Linked DNA regions of Caenorhabditis elegans. The protein of the gene in region 2 purifies or fractionates together with the protein of the main gene of each other region. This does not show direct contact. Each region holds a gene or a part of one and is shown on either strand. Other genes may lie near its edges.

Region 1 (4,801 bases), on a different chromosome or scaffold from region 2:
CAAATTCCGAGTTTGATAGTGTATATGGCTCATTGGCTGACTCGTTGAGAAATATTCGAAAACTTCCAATAGCTGTGTTTGGATAGGCATTCGTATATCCCATCTTGAAATTTTGAATTGAAAACAAAAAGAAAAAAAAACTCGATGGTCTTACTTGAAAAATGGCAGTAATTGCAAGAACAGCAGATAATATGAGTAGTTTCCAATTGAGTTTTTGCATGTTGTCACTGGTTCTGAAACTTTTTCTGAAGAAGTGAATTTTCAATGAAAAAGAAACAACTTAAATAAGCCTTTTAACTACAAAATACTGAAAGAAAAAGCTGAGGAAATGGGCGAAACCAATGGGAAATTCATTTTCTATGGCAACACAGAACGTGTATAGTTGTAGCATAGAGTTCAAAAGAGCAGACATCAAAACGCACGGCTTCAAAGAATTTTTGAACAGACAACTCATTAATTAGAATAAGCTAAACACTTATTTATTTTCTACGTTTACTTAGTTTTTTGGGTAAAATTTTGGTAATTGTGAAGTATACCAGGTTCAAAAACATTTTGCAATACATTTTCCGTTCATTTCTTTATAAAACAATTATTTAATTAAAAACTGAAATTGATTTGTATTTCCATGCTCAAAAAACACTGATCCCGAGGATAATATGAACACAAAGGGTCACGGACACATTTTCAAAATGGTTAACATTTTTGGGCTAGGTATGTACTACACAAGTACCGAAATATAAAACATTCGAAGTAATGAGAAGTTCGTTGTTTCAAAAAAATAGAATGTTTCTTTTTCATTTTTTCTGCAACAAACATCTGATTGATTTTCAAACACAATTATTACACTAAAAGATTCTTGAAAAAGACCGATGTTCATTTAGGTTTTTGCAACAATTTTAATTGAAACCAAAGGATAGAATGAAAGATGCAAACGTAAGAATAGAAGTACAGAGCAAACACAAAATGTGCACACGAAAATCAATACGTTATAAGGGACCAACAAGTGTTTATTGCATCATAAAAACATTTATTTCAAAGGGAATGAAGAATGAAAAAGTGGAATTTAAATTAGAAGCATTTGTCCTGTGCTTCAAAAACGCTAGCCTTGTCCACATTCTCAATAGCATGGACAAATGTATTGTCGCTAAAGACAACAAATTGCATGGTCTGGAAATTGATAATATTGGAAATCCACATAATGGAGAAGATTATTTACTTTGCCCCTTGCCCCCCGTTTCTTTTAATCTCATATTTCCTCCCGAAAGTCCAAAAGATGAGAAATCAATCACCGGCGTATTTTGTTGTCTGATAAGATTCTCAACACTACAAAATGCGGTTTTTTATAAAGAATTTCTATTACGTAATGTATTCAGAATAATTGCTCGTTGATTTTACCTGAACTTCTGAGCAGTTGACAACCACCATTGTGCTGTTGTCTTCCTTGTCCATCTATAAAAATCATAAGTTTAAAGACAAAATAAGCGATAAGCCTACCTCACGCCCGTAGAGACCAGAAACAATTCCTACTTGAACATATTTATTGTTTTCTACATCCAGAACACATTCCAGTGGTGCTCCTATATCATCCTGAATTTGAACAATTACTTTTTATAAAAACTAAGTAATGCAAAGTTTGAAAGTGTGTATTTCCAAAAAACAACAAAAACGCTTACCCAGCAAACACGACCTGTAGAGTTACTGTTAACTTCTGAGAACATGAGATTTTCTGTGTCAGCGTGAACATCAAGATCCAATACTTGGACTTTGTGTGAAGTAGCGAAGTCTTCCACTAAAAATATAATAACTTATTTAGTAGCTACATAGTTTTGTAGTTACGAACCATCTTCCGTAGTTTCAAATCCAATCACTCTACATTTGGAATCTTGAAGATCCCTTGGCACAATTGTACGGTAAGTAGCATCAGTCAAGCTTGGTTTGAAGTTGAGCCGTGCAACTCTTGGTGGGTGTGGCTCCTTATCGCAAAACTATAAAAATAATTTCTCTAATAAGAGTTGCAAATACTAGAGTCTTTTTTACATGATCTTCATTAACCGCATCGATTTTCATCAGAGCCAAGTCGCCGTCAATTTTCACAGCAAGCATTGCTTTGTTCATGGTAGCAGAGGAATCCTTCTTTTTGATAATAGCTTGTGCAATAAGGTTCCTAAATAAATATTAAATTGCCTTCAAATAAAAATCCATTTCAGCGTTTCTTCTAAACCAACAGTTGCTATACATATATTTCTATAAACTATCTCTGGCATAGTTTCGTCTAAGTTTTCAATCGAAAATTGTCAGCACATTCCGCACAACAAGCCAATTCACGAATCTTTTGCGTAGTCGAATTCAGAGCAGAAAAAGTGTAAAATGTAAGAGACTATAATGCGCTATGTTCGTTCGTAAGCTTCTTATTTTGCTACGGGAATATTTAAAAATTTGAAACCATACTTTCTGGTGTCTGGGAAACATTTCGAGCTGGTTAGCACAACGGATGGAGACAAAAGAGTTCCCGTGCAAGTTGAGATATTCTTCAGTTTGGTATCCTTAGTGAGTACCTGAACATAAAACATAAAATTCGAAGCGAGTTGAGCAAGTCTTACCTTCACCAAGTACTGATGGCGTTCCCATTTTGCCGGGTCCGCAATGTACATTGAAAACACGAATGCAAGTAGAGAGGAAACGATGACCGCTCGAAACATCTTCTTTCGATCAAATGATTCGAATGAGGATTTGACCCGACGAGCATCGCATTGATATTGTTGTAATATCCGCTTTCAGAAAAATCAAGCAAATGCATTCTTTAATACACCCACACATCAAGAAAAAGAAAATATTTATTGGATAGAGAGAGGCAAAAAAATGTTTCAAAGATTCATCACAAGTTTGACAATATTTGAAAATGAAATTTTGAAAGCTCTCATAGTCAAAAGCTAAAAAATAAATAGCAGAAAAAGCGAATCGACTGATTTGGAAAAAAATATACCCAGAGTTTTGAATATCATAATGGTGATTGGAAACATTTTCAATAAATAACGGGTAAACTTGGCATATGAAAAGATTAATTTAAAGTTCCGTGTGAGAGTCATCATTTTCAGAAATGACATTATCCGAAGGGTTATCAGAAGAATGTCCAGAAATGACTTCCCGGATTTCGTCATCATACGTTTTCCATTCTCCAATAATTCTGGCGGCTGAGTCGAGCTTTGGCTCTTTTGTGAGCGGGTTGTTGCACTGAAAATTGTTAATTGTTCACGGAAATTTAAAACAGATCAATGGCACAGCATTTCAGTTGTGTTCAATCAACTTACCAAGTCAATAGTCTTTGCATTCTTCTTGCTTCCATCATCGCACCAAGTCTCACACCAAAGCCACTCTTGTGGAAGCGATTTGATCTTAACCTGATGGATCATGTTATTTGGCAAGTCTTGATCCAAGTTAGCCAGACTGTTTGGATCGCCAGATAGTCCTTGATATTGTCCACGAAGACGATCTCCGGCAGCGATTTGACGGAACTTTTGAAGATCAATAACGTAGAGAGCACTAATGTGATATCTTCTCCCAGCGAGATGGTTCGCCCAATATCCTTGCTTCCAGAATCGGAATCCGTCCATCTCCTTTCTACTTTCACAGAATGGCACATATCCGTATGGCGCATTTCCAAGATCAAACTTCATCAGCTCCATCAAATCAGCACGCACCACCTGGTCAGCGTCCACAAAGATCACCTTTTGAACATCAAGTGGGAAGAGTACATCAAGGAAAAGAATCTTGAATCCCCACATAATACGTTGTTTCTCCTTCTGCTGGTGAAGCCACCTTGGCCACTTGTACTCGATCAGTTCATACTCGAAACCATAGTGCTTGGCAAGAGTTGGAAGTGTCTCTTTGAATTGTGGCGACAGGTAGTTCTTGAGAAGCCAGAATTTAACTGGATGCTTCGTGTTCTTCATGACCGAGACAATCATGATTCTCATGAACCGTTCGTACAAGTGACCGGATGCGAGAGAAAATACATTGATCACTTCCTGGGTTTTTTCTTTGCTGCTCACCAAGCTGAAAATAACATTATGAGATTATTTCAAAAGAGTTTAAACAAAATGCTTACTTGCTAAGACTGCTCCAAACACCTTCTTCATCGTCGGAAAGAAGATTTCTCTCCTCCATGCCTTCACGTTTTTCAACACGAACTCTTACTGATTTACCAGTGAATGAGTCAATAACAACTTGAAGCACATCCTCCCCAATCTTCTCCGCTCCAACATGCGATCCAATCTTGTAAATCTCACTAGATTTTCCATCACGGATCTCTAGTTTCCAAGCACCAGGATTTGCTTTAAGTTGGAAATATCCTAAATTAGCCATAACGATTGTATCAAATTGTTTAGGGTTCTTGTCCGTTCCCAAAGTGAACTGCAGACCGCGTGGTGGTTGACCACTAACTTCGTCGAAACACTGTCCATCGAGAAGTAAGTGTTGGAGTGCAAACTCGGCAGTGACATCTCCGTTGGCTTGTTCCATCTTGATGTTATCCAAATCATACTTGGCAGAAACGGCTTCCACTATCCATGAGTCGGGAGCTTGCAGCGAAAGTGTCAGAAGTTGCTTACTGGGAAGATTATCGAACCTGAAATTGTGAAATTGAAATTGGTTTTATTAAATAGAAAGTATTCACCTGACAACATTTGTGTTCAAGTTTCCATTGTGATCGAAACTCAATTCAGAAGCAGCAGCGTATCTGTAGAATCTCTTCAACGGAAGTTCAGAGTGCTTATCTTTTGGATTCATCACAATTTTGATTTCG
Region 2 (4,222 bases):
TGTGCCGATGAAGATCCAAAATCAGTATCGTCATCTTCATCATTGGGAAGGAAAAGAGGACGAAAAAGAGAGAATTCTGAAGAAGAAGAAAAAATTGACGCTGATGATAGTTTTGAGGTATATTGTGTCCACACTATCTATTCTAAATTTGGTAGTAGCTTTTCCAGTATGTCCCGAAATCTACACGAACACGAATAAGACCAACAGTGAACGTCGAGGAGGATCAGAATATCAAAACCGAGATTGAAGACAGCGACGATCTAGAAGATTCATTTGAGTTATAGCATGTATAATAATTTTCATTTTGTTGCCTTAATCATGTAAAATAAGATCTTGTTTAATTTCATAAAATCCCTTTTTATTCAAATTTTAATAACACATATTTCTGCATTTGCAAAGTATACCCTAAATCTATAATTCCTGCTTTTCCCACGCTTGATGTGTAAATCCCATAATCCCATCCATTGTCGGGCGTTCTTCATTCATTCAGAGTTGTTGACTGACATCATCACAACGTAATTCCAGACATTCCTAAATCAGTCTGATCAATGTGGACAACATAGTGCTCTTTAGAGTTTAAGGTCACAAAAGATGAAAACATCATTTTTGCAGCTTCAAAGATCTCTTTATTTTATTGCTCACAACAAAAGGCGGGTATTACGTCAATGGGGGGGGGGGGGGGGGGGATAAACTGGAGTTTTTTGGTGTGGAAGCAAAATTAAATTCTCCGAATTACAAGAAAAAATTCTAGCTTTTGCATCTTAAACAAAACAAATTCAAGATTATCACCGATATCGGATGCAAATACGAAGAACAAAATGTGCTTTTTAGAAATGATATCAGTTTGGAATTGGATGCAAGAATCTGTCAAAGTACAACCCATTGTTACGATTATCGAGTCGAAGAATGTTTGCAGAAAGTGTTTTAGTTGATTCATTGACATCCAAATCAGCATTATCACCTCCCATATCAGTACGGACCCATCCTGGACAGAATGAAGTGACAAGAATATGATATTTAGATAGTTCCATGAATGATTGACGCGCAAATGCATTCAGAGCAGATTTACTCATTCGGTATGCGGTCTGAAAAATTATGGATCGGTCAATTTTTGGTTTTTGTACATTTTAAATTCGCGCGCTGAGCAGAATGGTGCCGACCAATGAGCGCCGTTAACCACGCCCACCCTAGTCGCTGATTGGTCAAATATCTAATTTATTTGAAGTAAATTTGATACTGAAATAGATTTTTGAATATTTTTGGTATTTTGAAACTAATGGTTTTGCAATTTTGGATTTTTCAAACTTTACAGTTAACGTTTACGTTAAATGCAAAAATTAGAAAAAATTGATCTATTAGGATGAAAATGGACGAGAGAAAAAATTTTTCGTTGATTTCCTACTTATATTTGAAAAGTAAGTACCGTCATTTCTTGACTGTTAACTAAAAAATAATAATGAAAAAATTTCTGAAAGGTTTCACTATACATTTGGACATAGGAGTAATTGAAACAGGCAATAACTGTAAATGAAAAAAAAAAAACAATACCATAGGACCATCAAAGCATCCATTGTTCATTTCAATTGATGCCATTGTAGATGAAATGTTAATAATAGATGCTCGATCAATACTTGCTTCATCTCCTTCTGCAGCTGATGCAGCTGTCTTGATCAATGGAAGGAATATTTGAGTTAAAATTGCAACAGACACTGAATTAGTTTCCAATTGTTTCATCATCGTTTTTCTACAGATCTTTGGACCATCCACTTCATATGGAAGAAGTATTCCAGCATTGTTGATAAGCATATTAAGTCCATTTGATGATACAAGTGAAGATACTTCATCGAATACTTTCTTGATGGATTCATCATCATCTACATTCAATGCAATTACATGAAGTCTTCTATCATTTTTCAATGCATTCAGTTCATCTGCTTTCTCTGGGTTTCTGCACGTGGCAATAAGAAGTTCAATTCCATCATATTCCAGAAAATGTTTGACAAGTCCGAATCCAATTCCACGATTAGCTCCAGTTATCATAATATTCTTAGGGAATCGTTGGGGCCTACTCTCAACTTCTGGATCCGCTACGTCAGCCATTTTTAGATTGCCTTTCAGCTCATAGTTTGGCATTGTTGAGAACTTAGAATAATGAAGAACAAAAAATGAATAGAAAAGTTTGATTTTCCAATGCGTTTATCATCTATTTATATAGTCTGAAATAAATTGGTATGTGGAAAGTTTCAATACGTCGTGATTGACAAGAGAAATGTTTATCTTTAACATTATAGTAATCGGATGAAAAAAAGTCTCTAAACTAAACTGATGTCTGATTTCGCATAGGCCAAAGTATGCTCTTTTACACAGAAAAAAGAACAAATAGAACTATTAATCTAAACTATCAAACAACTGACAATTGATAGTGCATGGAATATGAAACTTCTATCAAAAGTGCAAGTATTTTCTCCCAGTCGCAAAACAAATTGACATGTTAATGGCACTTCTTTACAGTTGAGTGCTTCTGATAAAAGTGCACAATTAATCATTTTAACGAGTGCACAACTAAAAACATTGTTTCAGTTAATGAATTTTCCATCATCCATATTGACAACAAAAACAGATACAAGTGAATTCAAGGGCTGCTGTCATTTTTTAAATTACAAATTCTACTCTACTTCAGAAATTTTCATGAGAATTATGGGATAAGACTGTTACGTCGATCGTTCTCATTTTTTAAGACCAGACTCTGGCGGGCTCTTTGTCGGAAACTTCAGCTTCAAAACTAAATTTGGATAACATTTCTTGTTTCTCATAACATGGTACACATATACTCTACTCTCATGCACATAAATGTAAAAAATAGGCATTGAGCACAGGTTGTCAATGGATTTGCACGCAATAAGTACGTTAGGGGTTTTTTGTTTTATTTTTGGGGAAAATCGGGTTTTGAATTCGTTGTTGTTATTTATTTGTTCCAGACTGCTTGAGCTGTCATCACTGGTTATCATTAACTCATATCATAATTCCAATTTCAGCCAGACAACGCCTCAATTGTACCGCGGTCACTTCATTCTGAAATTACAAATCATGGGAGTAAATTAATGTTTTGACCAATAGACATTATCACACGACTAGAAAATCACAAATCAAAAGGTTCTACATAAGTGACGAGTAGCTATTTCTTACTATTAGTATACTGTAGACGTAATTGGTTCATATTCTTGTCTCTTTCTAATCATATATCCTGTCATACTATCTTTGCATTTAACTAAATACAAAGTTTCACCACGTGAAAAATCCAATCAAATTGATTTTTGCCCGATCTTCCGAACTGTCAAGTTTTGATCCGTCATTTCTCAGTGTGTATTTTTTGAGTCAAAAAGCAAATAAACAGAATAGTCATCATGTCCACCCTTTATTCGATTAGTTCTTCCAAACCCCACGTCACTTTTTGTGTTGAGACACAGAATTCGTTCTGCTTTGAATTTCGAAATGTTTCGCTACAAGAGAAGAAGTCGTTTGTTTATTCATCCAACGTCGAGAACGGAGTTCCCCAGCGGATTTTCTCTAAAAATTTGAATCTCTGACTAAACATCCTGAGCTGAATTTGAATGACTTTGTGGAGACTAAACTGCAAAATTTCTGAATGAAATTATGGAAATAGAAAAACAAAAGTCAATAATTCTAAAACCGTAAAGAAGAAGAAATCTCGATTTTATGATGTGATGTTTTTTCTAAAGGTGACATCCTTATAGTCTACAAAAAAGTTGTTAAACATGAAAACTCAGTATGAGCCATAATTAAAAAAATGTTCAGACAAAACCAAATTTCGAAACGTTTAATTTGTTAGTTAGAGTGGTTGAAAAAAGGAGAACTTTAGAATATATATCTCACTTTTAAAATCTAAGAGTTTCAAGAAATTTGTGTATTTCTAACTTACGGATTTGAGCAATTAATGATTCGAATTTAGGAGGCGAAGAAACATAGCTAACTAACGAAGAATGTATTTTAGCTCACGCAACCTAAAAATCATCTCAACCAGCAAAAAGATGCACATTTGGAGCAATTTTGCTGACCTCTAAATTAGTATCAAAAATTAACTGAAAAATGTTCAGAACAACTGTTTCCAAGTTCAAAGTGCAAGCCCATTTATAGTCTATATTCAATACAGATATGAGCATCTTTTTGCAAAAAACTTGCAAACTTTCAAAACTATAATGGA
Region 3 (8,293 bases), on a different chromosome or scaffold from region 2:
GTATTCGGGGACTGAAACGTTGGTTTAACAGAGTCTATGAAACATGATAAATGTGCTTTGAAATTTGGAGTTGGTGGTTTGATTTGCTCAGCCTTATTAAACTAGCAAAAAATAATGATTCGATTTTTGGTTCTCAAAATGAAAAAATCAATGTCTCTGCTAGAAACAGAAAGTTTCAAAACTTGGCAGCAGTGTGAGTATATTTCGGAATAAAAATAACAACCCAATTAATTTTCAGTGGTACCCATTCAAGAAGAAGACGTGGTGATTTTTTGCAAATTTTCTCAGAATTTTTAAGAGCGAATATTTGTTAAAGTTAAGGGTACCCATTTCAAATAATTCATTCAGGATCATAGTATTTTGAAGATAATAAAAAACATAATTTTTTACAAATTGTCTAATACAATACGTTACAAATTAAAATGCAAAGTTGGAAACAGTGAAAAATTCTCAAATTCAACTTGTTTTCAAACCGCATCTCCTATCTCTCGTTTTGGTATACTTGCTTTGCGGTCGACACTTTGTGAATTGTTCATCATGGTACGACATATCCCGGGTTTCCGGGAACGATGTTAATTTTTTTCAGCGGAAAAGACATTTTCGGTAGACTTTCAACTTTTCCAAGCATAAATTTGATAAATAACCTGATGAGTTCCCCTAAAACTACATGTTTCTACTCTTAAAGGTGGAGTACCGAAATTAGAGACTCTGTTTTTTTAGAACAAAATGAGCCCAAAACTACCGAATTTTGTGATGAGACGTTCTGAAAATTTCTTTAAAAAAAGTTATGAAGGTTCAAAGTTTTAGAAAATAAGGCCCATTTTCAGCTAAAATCGAAATTTTATCTAATTTCTCGGTGTTGCAACGTTTGGAATTGAATTTTTATTTATTCATCTCTTTTTAATAAATAATGTGGCCTTTGATTGGGCGTTTATTCGTTGATTTAAGTACATTTATGGTCAGTGAGGCACAAAATGTAACTTTTATTTGTGCCCCAAAGACCATAAATGTAGTTAAATCAACGAATAAACGCCCAATCAATGACCACAATATTTATTAAAAAGTGATGAATAAATGAAAATTCAATTCCAGACGTTGCGACACCGAGAAGTTGGAAAAAATTTTGATTTTAGCTGAAAATGGGCCTTATTTTCTAAAACTTTGAACCGTCATAACTTTTTTTTTTGAGAAATTTTCAGAACGTCTCATTACAAAATTCGGTAGGTTTGGACTCATTTTGGTCTAAGAAAACAGAGTCACTAATTTCGGTACTCCACCTTTAATATGTTATTTTTTAATTCAGCAAAATTAATAAAATAAAATAATCGAACATACTTTAATGACTATGCGAAATTGTAGAAGTTTTCTGCTTTTTTTTAGCAATATTTCCGGAATAACCTCTTTCAAAAAGCGAAAATTATATAAACTTCTCGAAACAGTACGCTATTTTATTTAGTAGTTATTTACGGTTTCAAGAATATTACACTGGCTATTCGTTTTTCTTTTTTTTTTTCAACAGCTTCACATCCCTAAATTTCCTAACAAATATTAAAAATTAAAGTCAAAATTCGTCGGCAGTTTTATGGACAATATGAAACAGCATATATATGATTTCTCGCCAACAAATGCTCAATTTTATGAGATTAGTACTAAATTTCAAAGATACACACACTGAACCCATCAAATTTCTCAAAATAGTGAACATACATATAGCCATAGTGAAACAGTCGATTTTTTTGTTACAACATAAAAGCACTCACCATCAGTATCCTTCAACTCATCAATAATCTTGCATGCTGTCTGATCAGTCAATCTCAAATCTTCCGGCTTTCCAGAAGTACAAACCCATCGGAATGGTCCAAATCCCATTGAAAAGATGTCTCTGAAACAGAATTTATTTTATTTAAATTGTACTCTTTTCAAATAATTATTACCCCATAATATCCTGCATATAACTTGGATATCTAAACGATTTATCATCCTGAGCATCCTCTCTGAGCAAATTGGCTCCAGCTCTCTGGCATTCCAAAAGGAAAGCATTACCGTAATCCCAGAAGTACATTCCCTTTGCAGCAATCTTGTCGATGGCGGCGATTTGGCGGATTAAAGAGTTTTGAACAAGTTTTTTGAATTTTACAGGATCAGAAGTCATCATTTGATTGGATTGTTCAAAAGTGAGTCCAGCAGGGTAAAAACCTCCAAGGAATGGATTGTGGAGAGAAGTTTGGTCACTTCCCAGTTCTACAAGACATTCCGGTTCCTCGGCGAGCCGTTCCCTGGAATTTTGAAAACTCATAGTTTTTTGTCTAGAATTTTTGTGAATAATGTTTTACCAAGTTTATTAATTGTGAAAAATCTTTGTAAAAAATTCTGTAATTTAAAAAAAATCTTGGTTCCGAAACTATGAGATATATTATTTGTATTACAATTTTTTCCGCTTTTCTCGTTTCCTTTAATTATTTTCCCTCTTGCTCCGTAGATCGCCTTTCACACTTTCATAAAAAAATTTAACAACTTTCTGAAACAGTAAAATTTTCTAAAACTCACCACAAGTCAACAACATTCCCCAAATATCCAATACTAATTGCCTCTTTTTTCTCTCTGTACTCTTTAATCCAATTCACAATTTCCTCAAGATCCTTCGAATATACATCCAACCATCCCTGTTGATGACGTTTCAACAATGCAGTATCACTAATTTCCGCAATAACTCCAATACATCCAGCAATCTTAGCTGCTTTTGGTTGAGCTCCACTCATTCCTCCAAGTCCTGCAGTTACGAAAACCTTACCAGCAAGGGAATCCAGTCCCATACGACGACCAGCGTTGAGGACTGTGATCTGGAGAATTTTTACTGTTTCAGGGGGTTCAGAAATTCAGGAGAGTTGTGATGAAATTAATCGGACAAGAAGAATAGATCGAGAAAAACTCATATAGTGACGTCACTATTTTTCTATATGGGTAGAAAAGCTGTAATCTGTTGCATCTGGTCTCGAATCATTTAGATTTCTTTAAAATATTATAAAGTGAAAAGACTTTCAACTTTCTGCTTCTAATAAGTCAATTTTGAAAAACCTTAAGAAAATTACGAAATTCAAATTAAAAAAAAATGTTATCAGTTCTGGTTCATTATGTAACTACTGAAAAAATAAAAATAAAATTTACAAAAATTTATTTTTTCACAGTTTCTACATATTTTAGGGCTTTGTAAGATAGCTATTCGACTCTATTTAAGGTGGAGTACCGAAATCTGAGATTTTGCTTTTTCCGACCCAAGATTCCCCAAAAACTACTGAATTTCGTAACGAGACATTTTGAAAATTTCTCAAAAAAAAAAGTTATGGCGGTTCAAAGTTCTGATAAAAAAGGTCTCATTTTCAGCTAAAATCAAAAATTTTGTCATCTTCTAAGTGTCTGGAACTAAATTTTTGTTAAATTATCACTCTTTAATAAATACTGTGGTTAGTTGAAGTAAGTAAATTTTTTCAGTGGGACAAAATATTATCAGCTTTGGTTCATTATGTAACTCTTGAAAAAAAAATTACAAATTTCAGAAATTTATTGTTTCATTGTGTCTACATATTTTAGGACTTAGAGAGTTAGCTATTAGGAAGGTTTTCAAGAGAACACCGCTATAAATTAAAGCAATATATCAAGTTTTCTTGACGCCACTTCTCTACTACTTTGGTGGAGTTTGGATTATAAAATAACTAGAATAATACACAAAAACTTAACAAAAATCATTCAAATACTATCTGAAACCGTTGTATACTGAAAACCTTCTGTGTAGCCCATATCCCAGAATAAAATTTACTGTTTCAGTGTGTTCATATATTCTGGCAGTAATAAGGTGTTTAATGCCAAAACTTCAGCTTTGGTTCATTATATAACTATTTAAAAAAAAAAATAAAATTTACAAAAATTTAATGTTTCACAGTGTCCGTATATTTTAGGGCTGAGTTAGTTATTAGAAATAACATGTTTTCTTTGAGTCACTTCTCTACTACATTGGTGCAGTTTGGATTATATAAATGACAAGAATCATATTCAGAAAAAAAAACAAAAATCTTGAAATCCTTGAATTTTTGCCTTTGAAATTCCATCTAAAACCGTTGTATACTGAAAACCTTCTGCTTTGCCCATTTTCCAAAATAAATTTGACTGTTTTAGTGTGTTCATTAAATTTGACGGTAATACGGTGTTTTAATGCCAAACTCCATTTAACGGCTTACCGTAGTCCCGTGTACAATTCCCTGTGGTCCAATATAACAGAAACTTCCAGCAGTCATTTGTCCGTACTGCGTCACTCCTAATGCAAAATACTTGTCGTACAGCTCCTTTGTCGAGTAGCTCGGGATCATCTGAAATGTCAAAATGTACGAAGCATCCTAGTTTCCAAAGGCCTACCATTCCATTAGTAACAGTCATTCTTGGCGAGTCCGGGGTTGATGGAAATAGGCCCAATGGGTGTCCGGAATAGAGCACCAAAGTTTGATGGTCAGTCATTGTGTAGAGGTAACGAAGAACCAGACGGAATTGGATCCAATTGCTGAAATATCATTTCTCAAGCATTTCAGAAAGATTCCCATGCTAACCTAAAAACTTGACCATTTCCTCCATAAGTCACCAATTCCTGTGGAAACTGGGCAACCCGCTTGTCCAAATTGTTTAGAATCATCAAAATGATAGCCGATGCTTGTTCGCAATGAGCTCCGATCTCCGAGACGGGCGGCGCGAATAGATCAAAGTTTGGCATGAACCGATACCCATAGATGTGTCCATAGGTGTTGAGCTCTTCAGCGAACTCGGTGGCTAGAAGGACGTGATGCTCTTTTGGAATGTAGCGGAGAGCATTGCGGACGGCGAGCTGGAAGAATTTTATAGTTGAAGCTGGTTGGGACCTGCATTGAAGTTCGAAACAATAAATTTTGGAATTCCACTTGTATTTTATCAAGTAAGTGAAACAGACTTTTGTAACTAATAGCCAACAGCTTTTCAGCTCCTAAATTAAAATTTGATCTGATTCTTGATCTTCTTGATTGTTCTTGATCTCGAAAACTACATAGCCTACCGACTTCAAAAACTGCTCCAAAATTGCAAAAAAATTGTAAATTTTGTTACAGTCTTCTCTTACTTTTTTCTGAACTAGAATTGGCACAACAACTTCATTCAATTAATTGGTATCTCCCAAATTGCGCCGAGCACAGAGAACACTGTGCAACCCGGGAGATGTCGGAACAATAAATTATAACATTGATCTCATTGCAAATAGTTTACCATAATTAGGAGTAGATTTGAAAAATTAAAGGTAAAAATGTTCACTGTTCCAAATATTGCATTTCAATTTGTAAAAAGTTCTATTAGTTAGTCAGTGTAGCATTTAAACTTCTTGATGCAACAAAAAAAAGCTAATTTTATTAAAAACTAGGCAAAAAATTTCAGAGTTTAGCCAAATTTTTCTAAAAAATTTGTTAGTTTAGGCTCATTTTCAGCCAACTTGTCAAAGATTATGTTTCACAGTCTTCTTTAAAGCGCTCAATGAAACAATGAAACTGTTTTTGCAGTTTCAAAAAATTCATTTGAAAAGAAAAAATTCCAAGTCAAGTGCCTAAACGTTTTTAATGAAACAGTACATTTTTTTTATCTTTTCAAAGATAAATTTATTACCATTTTCTCTGTCTGTGTAAGATTACACGGACGCTTTGGTGCGTGAGCCACATTCTTGGCACGTTGCTCCGTTGGATGCTCGAGGAGCGGAGAGAATGGGTCGACGAAGAGAGATGGGATGTTCATGCTGGAAAATTGAGTCTTCACAAACCGAGTCAACAGTATACGAAATTAGAAAAATCAACAGTAAAAACATTTTCTCAATGTGATGAAACAGTAATTTTTAAAAAATAAAATTTAAAAAAAAATTTCTAGAAAATTCTAGAAGTTACCAGATTTTTCTAAAAAATTCTTAAAGTTCCCACATTTTTCTAGAAAATTACAGAAGTTTATAGATTTCTCTGGAAATTTCTAGAAGTTTCCAGTTTTGTTCTAGAAAATTCTAGTAGTTTCCAGATTTTTCTAGAGCATTCTAGAAGTTTTAATACAATTTATTGGTATAGTTCATAAAATTGACAATTGCCGAATTCCAAATTTCGGTAAAATTTCGGCACTCATCAAAAAACTAACCTCAAAATTTGCCAACAAAACCGAACTTATTCTGATCAGCAATGAAAGATTTCTCGTGAATGTTCGACTTCTCCTCCCCCTTCTCCCACGTGGTATGTTCCTTCCCGCCCAATAGATCACCGCCATAAAATTCTCTGTTTTGATGATTCTCGTCTTCTGGTTCCAGGTTACGATCCTTGACGACGACGAAACGGTCGGATGATTGCATTTTTATTGGTTAGTTTCAAGGTGTGTGTGTGTGTATTTGGAAGAGAAAGATGATAAGATCTGAATGCAGAATCTCGCGATTGGGTAGAATTCGAAAATAGAACATTGGGACTTTAAAATTATTTATAAAATTAATTTTTTAGTTACTGTTTCCGCTAGTTGTTATAAATCGGTGATATATATTAAGAGTTTTATTGGAAACACAACTTTCAGAGCTTATAAATTTGACCGTTTCAACTAGTTGTTATAAAACTGCAATTTATTTGTTGCTTACTACCTACATCACATTTGTAAGTTAAAACTGTAAAACGAATTAAAATCTTTGGAAAAACAGTTTTTTCTGTTTTTTGTTTGTTTTTTGGTCCGAAGAATTTCGAAAAGAAATACCAAATTTTGCTTAAAGCATCCATAAAAAATTATAAAATAGAACATTGGATTTAACGCGAATTTAGTGGAAATTAACCGTGAGGCTATGAAATAAAAAATTACAGTTTCAGCTAGTTGCTATGTAGATGCAGTTTTATATTTCCTCACTGAAGCGACTAAAATTACAACATTTTGAATTCTTGCAGAATTTTTGAAATTGAAAAAAAATACAGGAGGAAGGTCTTACCAAAAAAAGTTTTTGATCAAAAATAAAAATAAAAAAGTTTTTTTTTTGAAATATAGTTTTCTTTTGGTTTTTGGCCCGAAAAAAAACAGAACATTTAAGAGAACAGTTCAGCACTTTAGTCCTCCAGGTGTGCTGCTGGACCACCAGGATTCTGAGGAGCTCCAGTACAAGATAGAGCTCTAGAAAATTATGTTTCTTACGGGAACACCCGAAACACGGGTCAAATTGACCGTGAGACTATCCAATTAAATTACAGTTTCAGCGTGTTCTTATGTACAACACGCTGAAACTGTAAATTTATTGGATAGTCTCACGGTATACCCAAACCACCTGCACAATTTTTACTTCAAGCTCAGAATCGCAAATTTGGCTCAAATTGAACGTGAGACTATAAAATAAAATCGCAGTTTCAACTAGCTGCTATGTACTAGTGAACATTCTTATTTCTCATTAATCTTTTTCTGATATTTGCTGTAAATTACAAAATGTCTTGTTAATTACAAAAACTAAGGTTTCCATGAAGGCGTTCAAATTCCCACCTGCCTGACCTTAAGGCGATCTCCGCCTGCCTCTTGCCTCAATACGCGCCTTATTCTAAAACATACACGAACTATTTGTTTTTTCATATCTTAATTTGATTTTCAACAAAATTATTGAAATGAGAAAAAAACGTAAAAATGCGATTCGAGGCAGGCGTCAGGTCCCTGAAACCGCGCCTACCTATTATGGAAGATCCAATTCTAATCCAATCCAAATATGGAATGTAAACGGCACTGCAAGTTTGTAATTAAATCACAATGTTTGAAAAAAAAAACAGATTTTTACAATTTGACAGTTTCAATTAGTTTTTATAAAAATGGCATTTGTTTTTGATTTAGTAAAAATCTTAGTAAAAGAACCAAAAAAAAAAACTACGAATTTTGTTTTAAACTCCCCGACTGAAAATTAAAATTCGTCCAAAAACAAAAAACAATACAAAAAATACTTTAGGTATGTTGCTGGACTACCAGAACATGACGGAGCTCCACTAAATTATGTTTCATCGGGAACATCCTAAAAATAAAAAAAAATTAAATTACCGTTTCAGCTTATGTACAAGAAATTTCTTTTTTTTGTTCGGTTGCTAACCCGACTTCTATCTTAACTATGAAATTAGTTTTTTTTTTCAATTCTTGCACCGTTTTTTAAGGTTTCAACTAGCTTTTATAAAAGTTTTTAAGACTTTTTCCGTTTAGTTCATTACGGCAAAAAAAACTTTTTTTGAGCTCTGAACCCAAAAAAAATTATAACTTTTAA
Region 4 (5,649 bases), on a different chromosome or scaffold from region 2:
TGAATGAGGACTTCCCTCTCTTATATCTTCATTATTTCTTCACTTATCTCTGACGCACTTTTTCGACAAAGTTTATCTTAGATTAGAAATATATTACATGAATGATATCAAAGGACAATGTTCTCAACTGAATTTGTCAGAAACATTTCCCGAATCGGACTAGATTCGCCTAGGAATACTGTGTTTGTTTGATCAGCGGGATAGTTTTGAAATAAAACTTGATTTTTCGATGAAGTAGGGATATTTCTCAAAAATGATTTTCTATTGAACCAACATATTAAAATTTAGCTACAGTAACCAAAAAAGGTCGTTTTCTTTGAATACTTCTGCATGGAGTACTGTAGCAAGAATTTCAGCTGCGTCGGGGATTACTGCTACCGTAACCTGCGAGCGGTGTCTGATTTTTTTAAAAGGTGGAAACTTAGAAATTCATGTGATTTTAGTGAAAAATAGTTTTTTTTTCCAAAATTTTTACGCTGTGCATTTCCTTTTTTTGGCATTGATTACAATTTCTCCCATTTTCCAGTGTATTTACCTCACATCATCCTCTGAATCAAAAACTTCATCCCCAACAGCTCCACCGAGATAATAATCATCATCCATTTTTTCAAAAGCAAGTCTACGCATCGTTGCTGCGGTCACTTCATCTGCTGGATATTGGTCATCGAACGTCTCATCGTCATCGTTGATCATCATCGTCTGCCGCTTCTTCTGAAAATAAAACACATTTATTACCCAAAAACACACCACAATACGAAGAAGGAAACACGATAAATACGAGAGAGTGTGAAAATGAAGAGAAAATGAGAAATAAATATATGTGTAGAAGAACCCATAAAGATGCAAATCACAAGAAAAATAAAAATGCTGAATAGAGTAGTAGATATAATAAAAACATATAAAGTTGGTTGGAACTAGTAAATGAATCATTATCTACAGGGGTCCGGGAATCCCGGATCGCGAAAAAATGTTTTTTTTAACTGAAAATTTCTGAATTATACTGTAGAATTGAGCCACAAAACTGAGTTTTTTCTGTAAAAATATTCGAATTAGAGCTCGGTACGAGTCTCCGCAGCAGATTGAGCCGCAGATTTTCCAGCAATTCTGCCAAACACCACACATTCAAGCAGGGAATTTCCAGCCAATCGATTGGAACCATGAACTCCGCCAGTGACTTCTCCAGCGGCAAAAAGGCCGACAATTGGCTTGCCATGCTCATCGATGACGCGGGTGGCCTCGTCGATTTTCAGGCCACCCATGGTGTAGTGGATTGCTGGGACGACGATTGCTGCGTAGATTGGCTCAGTCGGAGAGATTGCAGACACTGGGAACACCTGGAAATGGGAAATTATTACAGTTTCGGTATTTTTCGGCTAATTCCGATGCAAAAATAACTTTGTTTTTACAGTTTCGATATTTTTTTTTGCTGAACGATATTTTTTTAATTTTGAAAAAAAATTTAGGCTTGGGAAAGTTTAAATTGAAAATAGATCGTCAAATATTCGGGGAAAGATTTTCTCGATATTTTTCAACGTTTTACTCAAAGTTTCTAATAATACAATTTCAGCACAATTTTTCCTAAATCTATGAATTTTAGTTTTTCTTTCACTTTTCTGATTTTATAAAGTCTGTTTTAAAAGTAAATGCAATTTTGATCAACTTTTCAGAATTCTTAGTCATTTTTTCAAGAATTTTAAAATTAAAAATATTTGAATACCTTTTTGCCGAAAGGATCTTCAGATTTTCCATCAAAACTCTTCTGATATTCCTCCAAAGTGGTTTTAATAGCTGATTCGTCGATACCCAAAGCCTTTGCAAGCTCCGCGGAGTTCTCGTATTTCGCTGAAAAAAATCAGATTTCAGAGCAATAATACAATTTTCATAATATAAAACTAAAAATTAAAAAAATTAATTTGAAAAAGGGAATTTTTAAAAATTTCAGAAATTCCGGAAAAAAAAATTAGTTTTGGATTTAAAATGCTTTTAAACTCCAAAAAAAAGGAAGCTGATAAAATTTTCGACAAAAAAATCTTTAAACTGGGAATTTTTAATACGAAGATTTTGTCGAACTTATTCTCGAGAAGTGTTAATGGATTTCGAAAAAAAAAATGAAATTTGAAAAAAATTGTTTGGGATTTTTCAAATAACAAACAACTAATTTAAAAAATGTTTTCCAACTTTTTCACAGAAAAAAACCTACCAAAGAATTTCTTAACAATCGAATAAAAATTGAAAGCAGGTCTGCCAAAAGCCTCAACATTTGCTTCATTCATAATCATAATCGCCGCATTTCTTCCAGCAGATCCTCCTTGGAAACTCTCTTCAATTGGCTCAGCGAGCTCAAGAATCTTTCCAGTTAAATAATCGCGTCTTCCCAACTCATTTCCAAATCTTTGTCCCTTTGAGTTAATAAGCAGAGCTCCTTTTCCACGAATAGCCTCAGCCGCCAGGAACTTTGTTCCTGCTGATGGATCTTTTGGATCTACAAACGCTGTAGGATGAATCTGAATATTTTCCATTCCAATAATCTTTGCTCCAAGAGCTCTCGCAATTTTCACACCATCTCCTTTAGCGAATGCTCCATTTGTTGTTGGGAATCCGAATATTTCAGCTCCAAATTCCTTGAGCAAAGTTTCATCAGCAGAGAATCCACCGGTTGCAAGGATTACAGCGTCTCCGATGATCTTTGATTTCTCTCCAGAAGCTGATGTTACAATCTCGATTCCCGATACTTTTCCATTTTCTCTCAAAATTCCAACCATTTTAGTCTGAGTCAAAAGCTTGAAGGCTTCTGGATTCTCCGATTGCTTCTCATTAAGCCTTGTTCTCAATCTCTTCATAATTTCGAAACCAGCTGGTATTGGTCGTCCTTCCTTTGGAGATGGAATCCAATGAGTACGTGGTACAGAATGCCCACCACATAGATTCACATCAGTCAGATCCACTTCAACTCCACGCAGAAATTCAACAGCATCTGCTGAATTAGCAGCCAGAATTTCCACAAGTTTCTTGTCATTTTCAGAGTCTCCTGCACTCAGAGTGTCCTTGACAAGAAGTTCCGGCGAATCTTTGATTCCCAGTTTCTCCTGAGTTTCGGTTCCAGCACCGTTGATTCCGCTGGATGCCTGGAATATTTTTTTCAAGAAGTGAGGATATTGGACACTTTTTTTAAAAATCACCTAGACTTACTAAAACATTTTACTGTAATTTGGCATACTTAATTTTGAAATTTTTCAGAACGAGAATTTGTTACTCTTTTTTTTTATTTCCAGCTTTTTCACACGATTTAACTGTTTTTAAATTTGAAAATTTCTTACAATCGAAATTTTTTAATTTATCATATTTTTTCAGAGACGTTTCAGTTTTAAAGGAAAAAAAACAGAATATTATTTTTTTTCACAATTTGCAACTAATAGTAAAATAAATAACTTTTTCAGAAATTTGGAACAAAAAAATGCGAGAAAATAAATTTTAACAATCGATATTTCCAGAAGTTAAATAGATTTTTTTCAAAAATTCGCAAGATCTTACCTTCGCTGAATTTCCACCAGTATTTCCCTCTCCCTCTACCAAAATCACACGTCCACCTCCATTGATAATATCCAGTGAAGCAGACAGCCCGGCGAGCCCACCTCCAACAACAACGACAGTTGGCTCAGCATGAAGCACAGAAGCCATAACTGTAAGCGAAATGAGCACCCGAATCATCAAATGTCTGTCAATGGGGAAATTTCAACAACGGACACAAAGGGAAATTATAGAAAATGATAGAAAATTGGTTAAAACCGCCGAAAAAATTAGACAGAATTATTTTTTAAAAACCCATTATTTATGGAATGTCTAACATAGGAGAAAAACCGAAAAAAAGGGAAAATATAAAATAAATTAAAGCTGATTTTTGAATAAATATATTCACATGGATAAGGCATCTGGGAAGCATGAAAAAAAAGTGATGGGGAAAAACAATCAATAATTCATAACCGTAACTATTCACATTTACTTTTGATCTAGTAGTATCGATACTACAGTGCTCCACATAATGATACGGCCACCCCAAATTTTGGTATAACTCAAAACTGGGTTGAGATAGCAAAACATAGTTTCTTGTGAAAATGTTCGCTGTACTAACTTACTTTCAGATAAGTATTGGAAATATACCTGAACCGTTTGTAAAAAAGATAAACCATTTTTTCATGAAAAACCATATTTAAAAAATCCACAAAATGATACGGCCACCCTTGGTTTTCGTTTTCTTTTTTCGTTTTCTTTGCAATTTTTTTTGCTAAACGTTAAGTTTCATGTTCGTTTGTGTTTTTACAGTTATGGGTCGTGGAATAACTTCAACTGACTGCGAAAAAGGACAAATTGTGCCAAATTATCTCAAGGCTTCTCGAATCGTCAGATTTTTCGTGATTTGGAAACTTTCGAGAGATATGATCACTCGATATGCTTCCAATCCTGCCGCTTATTGCACAAAAAAGTCTTCTGGTCGCACACCTTTTCTTTCTGTCAGACCCAAAAAAAAAACCGTTCGTCGAGCATCCAATTGAACAGTGACTTGCTCGAAAAGTAGGAGCGAGATGAACCTGGCAGTGTCTGTTGAGGCCGTACGACATGTCCTTTTGAAGTCTCAGTTTAACAAAAGACGAAAATTAAGAAAGGCTCCATTCATTACCAAAAAACCGCCAAAACCGTATTCAGTTTGCTAAAATCAGTCAGGGAACTAACTGAAGACAAGTGAGGATTACGGTATAATCATTCAAGCCCAGTTTTTGGTTTCAGTTCATCTTCAGTGACGAGAAAAAGTTTAACTGTAATGAACCAGATTACTACCGTGATTAGTGGCACGATTTGAGAAAAGAAAAGATGAACTGAAACCAAAAACTGGGCTTGAATGATTATACCGTAATCCTCACTTGTCTTCAGTTAGTTCCCTGACTGATTTTAGCAAACTGAATACGGTTTTGGCGGTTTTTTGGTAATGAATGGAGCCTTTCTTAATTTTCGTCTTTTGTTAAACTGAGACTTCAAAAGAACATGTCGTACGGCCTCAACAGACACTGCCAGGTTCATCTCGCTCCTACTTTTCGAGCAAGTCACTGTTCAATTGGATGCTCGACGAACGGTTTTTTTTTTGGGTCTGACAGAAAGAAAAGGTGTGCGACCAGAAGACTTTTTTGTGCAATAAGCGGCAGGATTGGAAGCATATCGAGTGATCATATCTCTCGAAAGTTTCAAATCACGAAAAATCTGACGATTCGAGAAGCCTTGAGATAATTTGGCACAATTTGTCCTTTTTCGTAGTCAGTTGAAGTTATTCCACGACCCATAGCTGTAAAAACACAAACGAACATGAAACTTAACGTTTAGCAAAAAAAATTGCAAAGAAAACGAAAAAAGAAAACGAAAACCAAGGGTGGCCGTATCATTTTGTGGATTTTTTATATGGTTTTTCATGAAAAAATGGTTTATATTTTTTACAAACGGTTCAGGTATATTTCCAATACTTAACTGAAAGTTAGCCAGTACAGCGAACATTTTCACAAGAAACTATGTTTTGCTATCTCAACCCAGTTTTGAGTTATACCAAAATTTGGGGGTGGCCGTATCATTATGTGGAGCACTGTACATTTAGCAAAAAAACATTAG

Evidence for each region.
Region 1: the proteins of C30G12.2 (region 2) and try-14 fractionate together in Caenorhabditis elegans (co-fractionation; one large-scale study listed by BioGRID). This does not show direct contact.
Region 3: the proteins of C30G12.2 (region 2) and uroc-1 fractionate together in Caenorhabditis elegans (co-fractionation; one large-scale study listed by BioGRID). This does not show direct contact.
Region 4: the proteins of C30G12.2 (region 2) and F48E8.3 fractionate together in Caenorhabditis elegans (co-fractionation; one large-scale study listed by BioGRID). This does not show direct contact.

What each region holds. Positions count from the first base shown.
Region 1 is NC_003284.9:7,492,866-7,497,666, forward strand, and holds try-14 (Peptidase S1 domain-containing protein), read right to left. Parts: upstream 2,727-4,801; 5' UTR 2,700-2,726; coding exon 2,601-2,699; intron 2,556-2,600; coding exon 2,449-2,555; intron 2,165-2,448; coding exon 2,038-2,164; intron 1,986-2,037; coding exon 1,841-1,985; intron 1,790-1,840; coding exon 1,674-1,789; intron 1,588-1,673; coding exon 1,495-1,587; intron 1,450-1,494; coding exon 1,396-1,449; intron 1,168-1,395; coding exon 1,069-1,167; 3' UTR 859-1,068; downstream 1-858. Other genes in the region: F48E3.2 (Major facilitator superfamily (MFS) profile domain-containing protein), read right to left, coding at 1-103, 155-220; uggt-1 (UDP-Glucose Glycoprotein glucosylTransferase), read right to left, coding at 3,064-3,231, 3,309-4,053, 4,106-4,624, 4,673-4,801.
Region 2 is NC_003280.10:7,288,337-7,292,558, reverse strand, and holds C30G12.2 (DeHydrogenases, Short chain), read right to left. Parts: upstream 2,134-4,222; coding exon 1,549-2,133; intron 1,086-1,548; coding exon 840-1,085; downstream 1-839. Other genes in the region: C30G12.6 (uncharacterized protein), read left to right, coding at 1-117, 159-284.
Region 3 is NC_003282.8:16,536,530-16,544,822, forward strand, and holds the start of uroc-1 (putative urocanate hydratase), read right to left. Parts: upstream 6,221-8,293; 5' UTR 6,178-6,220; intron 5,839-6,177; exon of another isoform or gene 5,818-5,838; intron 5,795-5,817; 5' UTR 5,794-5,794; coding exon 5,668-5,793; intron 5,390-5,667; exon of another isoform or gene 5,365-5,389; intron 4,925-5,364; exon of another isoform or gene 4,898-4,924; intron 4,868-4,897; coding exon 4,596-4,867; intron 4,550-4,595; coding exon 4,408-4,549; intron 4,362-4,407; coding exon 4,233-4,361; intron 4,229-4,232; exon of another isoform or gene 4,208-4,228; intron 4,197-4,207; exon of another isoform or gene 4,176-4,196; intron 3,880-4,175; exon of another isoform or gene 3,859-3,879; intron 3,629-3,858; exon of another isoform or gene 3,608-3,628; intron 3,242-3,607; exon of another isoform or gene 3,221-3,241; intron 2,922-3,220; exon of another isoform or gene 2,901-2,921; intron 2,841-2,900; coding exon 2,548-2,840; intron 2,481-2,547; exon of another isoform or gene 2,460-2,480; intron 2,277-2,459; coding exon 1,935-2,276; intron 1,883-1,934; coding exon 1,761-1,882; intron 1,681-1,760; exon of another isoform or gene 1,660-1,680; intron 1,556-1,659; and 11 more.
Region 4 is NC_003281.10:5,459,445-5,465,093, reverse strand, and holds F48E8.3 (fumarate reductase (NADH)), read right to left. Parts: upstream 3,716-5,649; 5' UTR 3,679-3,715; coding exon 3,532-3,678; intron 3,126-3,531; coding exon 2,201-3,125; intron 1,843-2,200; coding exon 1,718-1,842; intron 1,335-1,717; coding exon 1,050-1,334; 3' UTR 712-1,049; downstream 1-711. Other genes in the region: F48E8.2 (E2F-associated phosphoprotein), read right to left, coding at 536-696.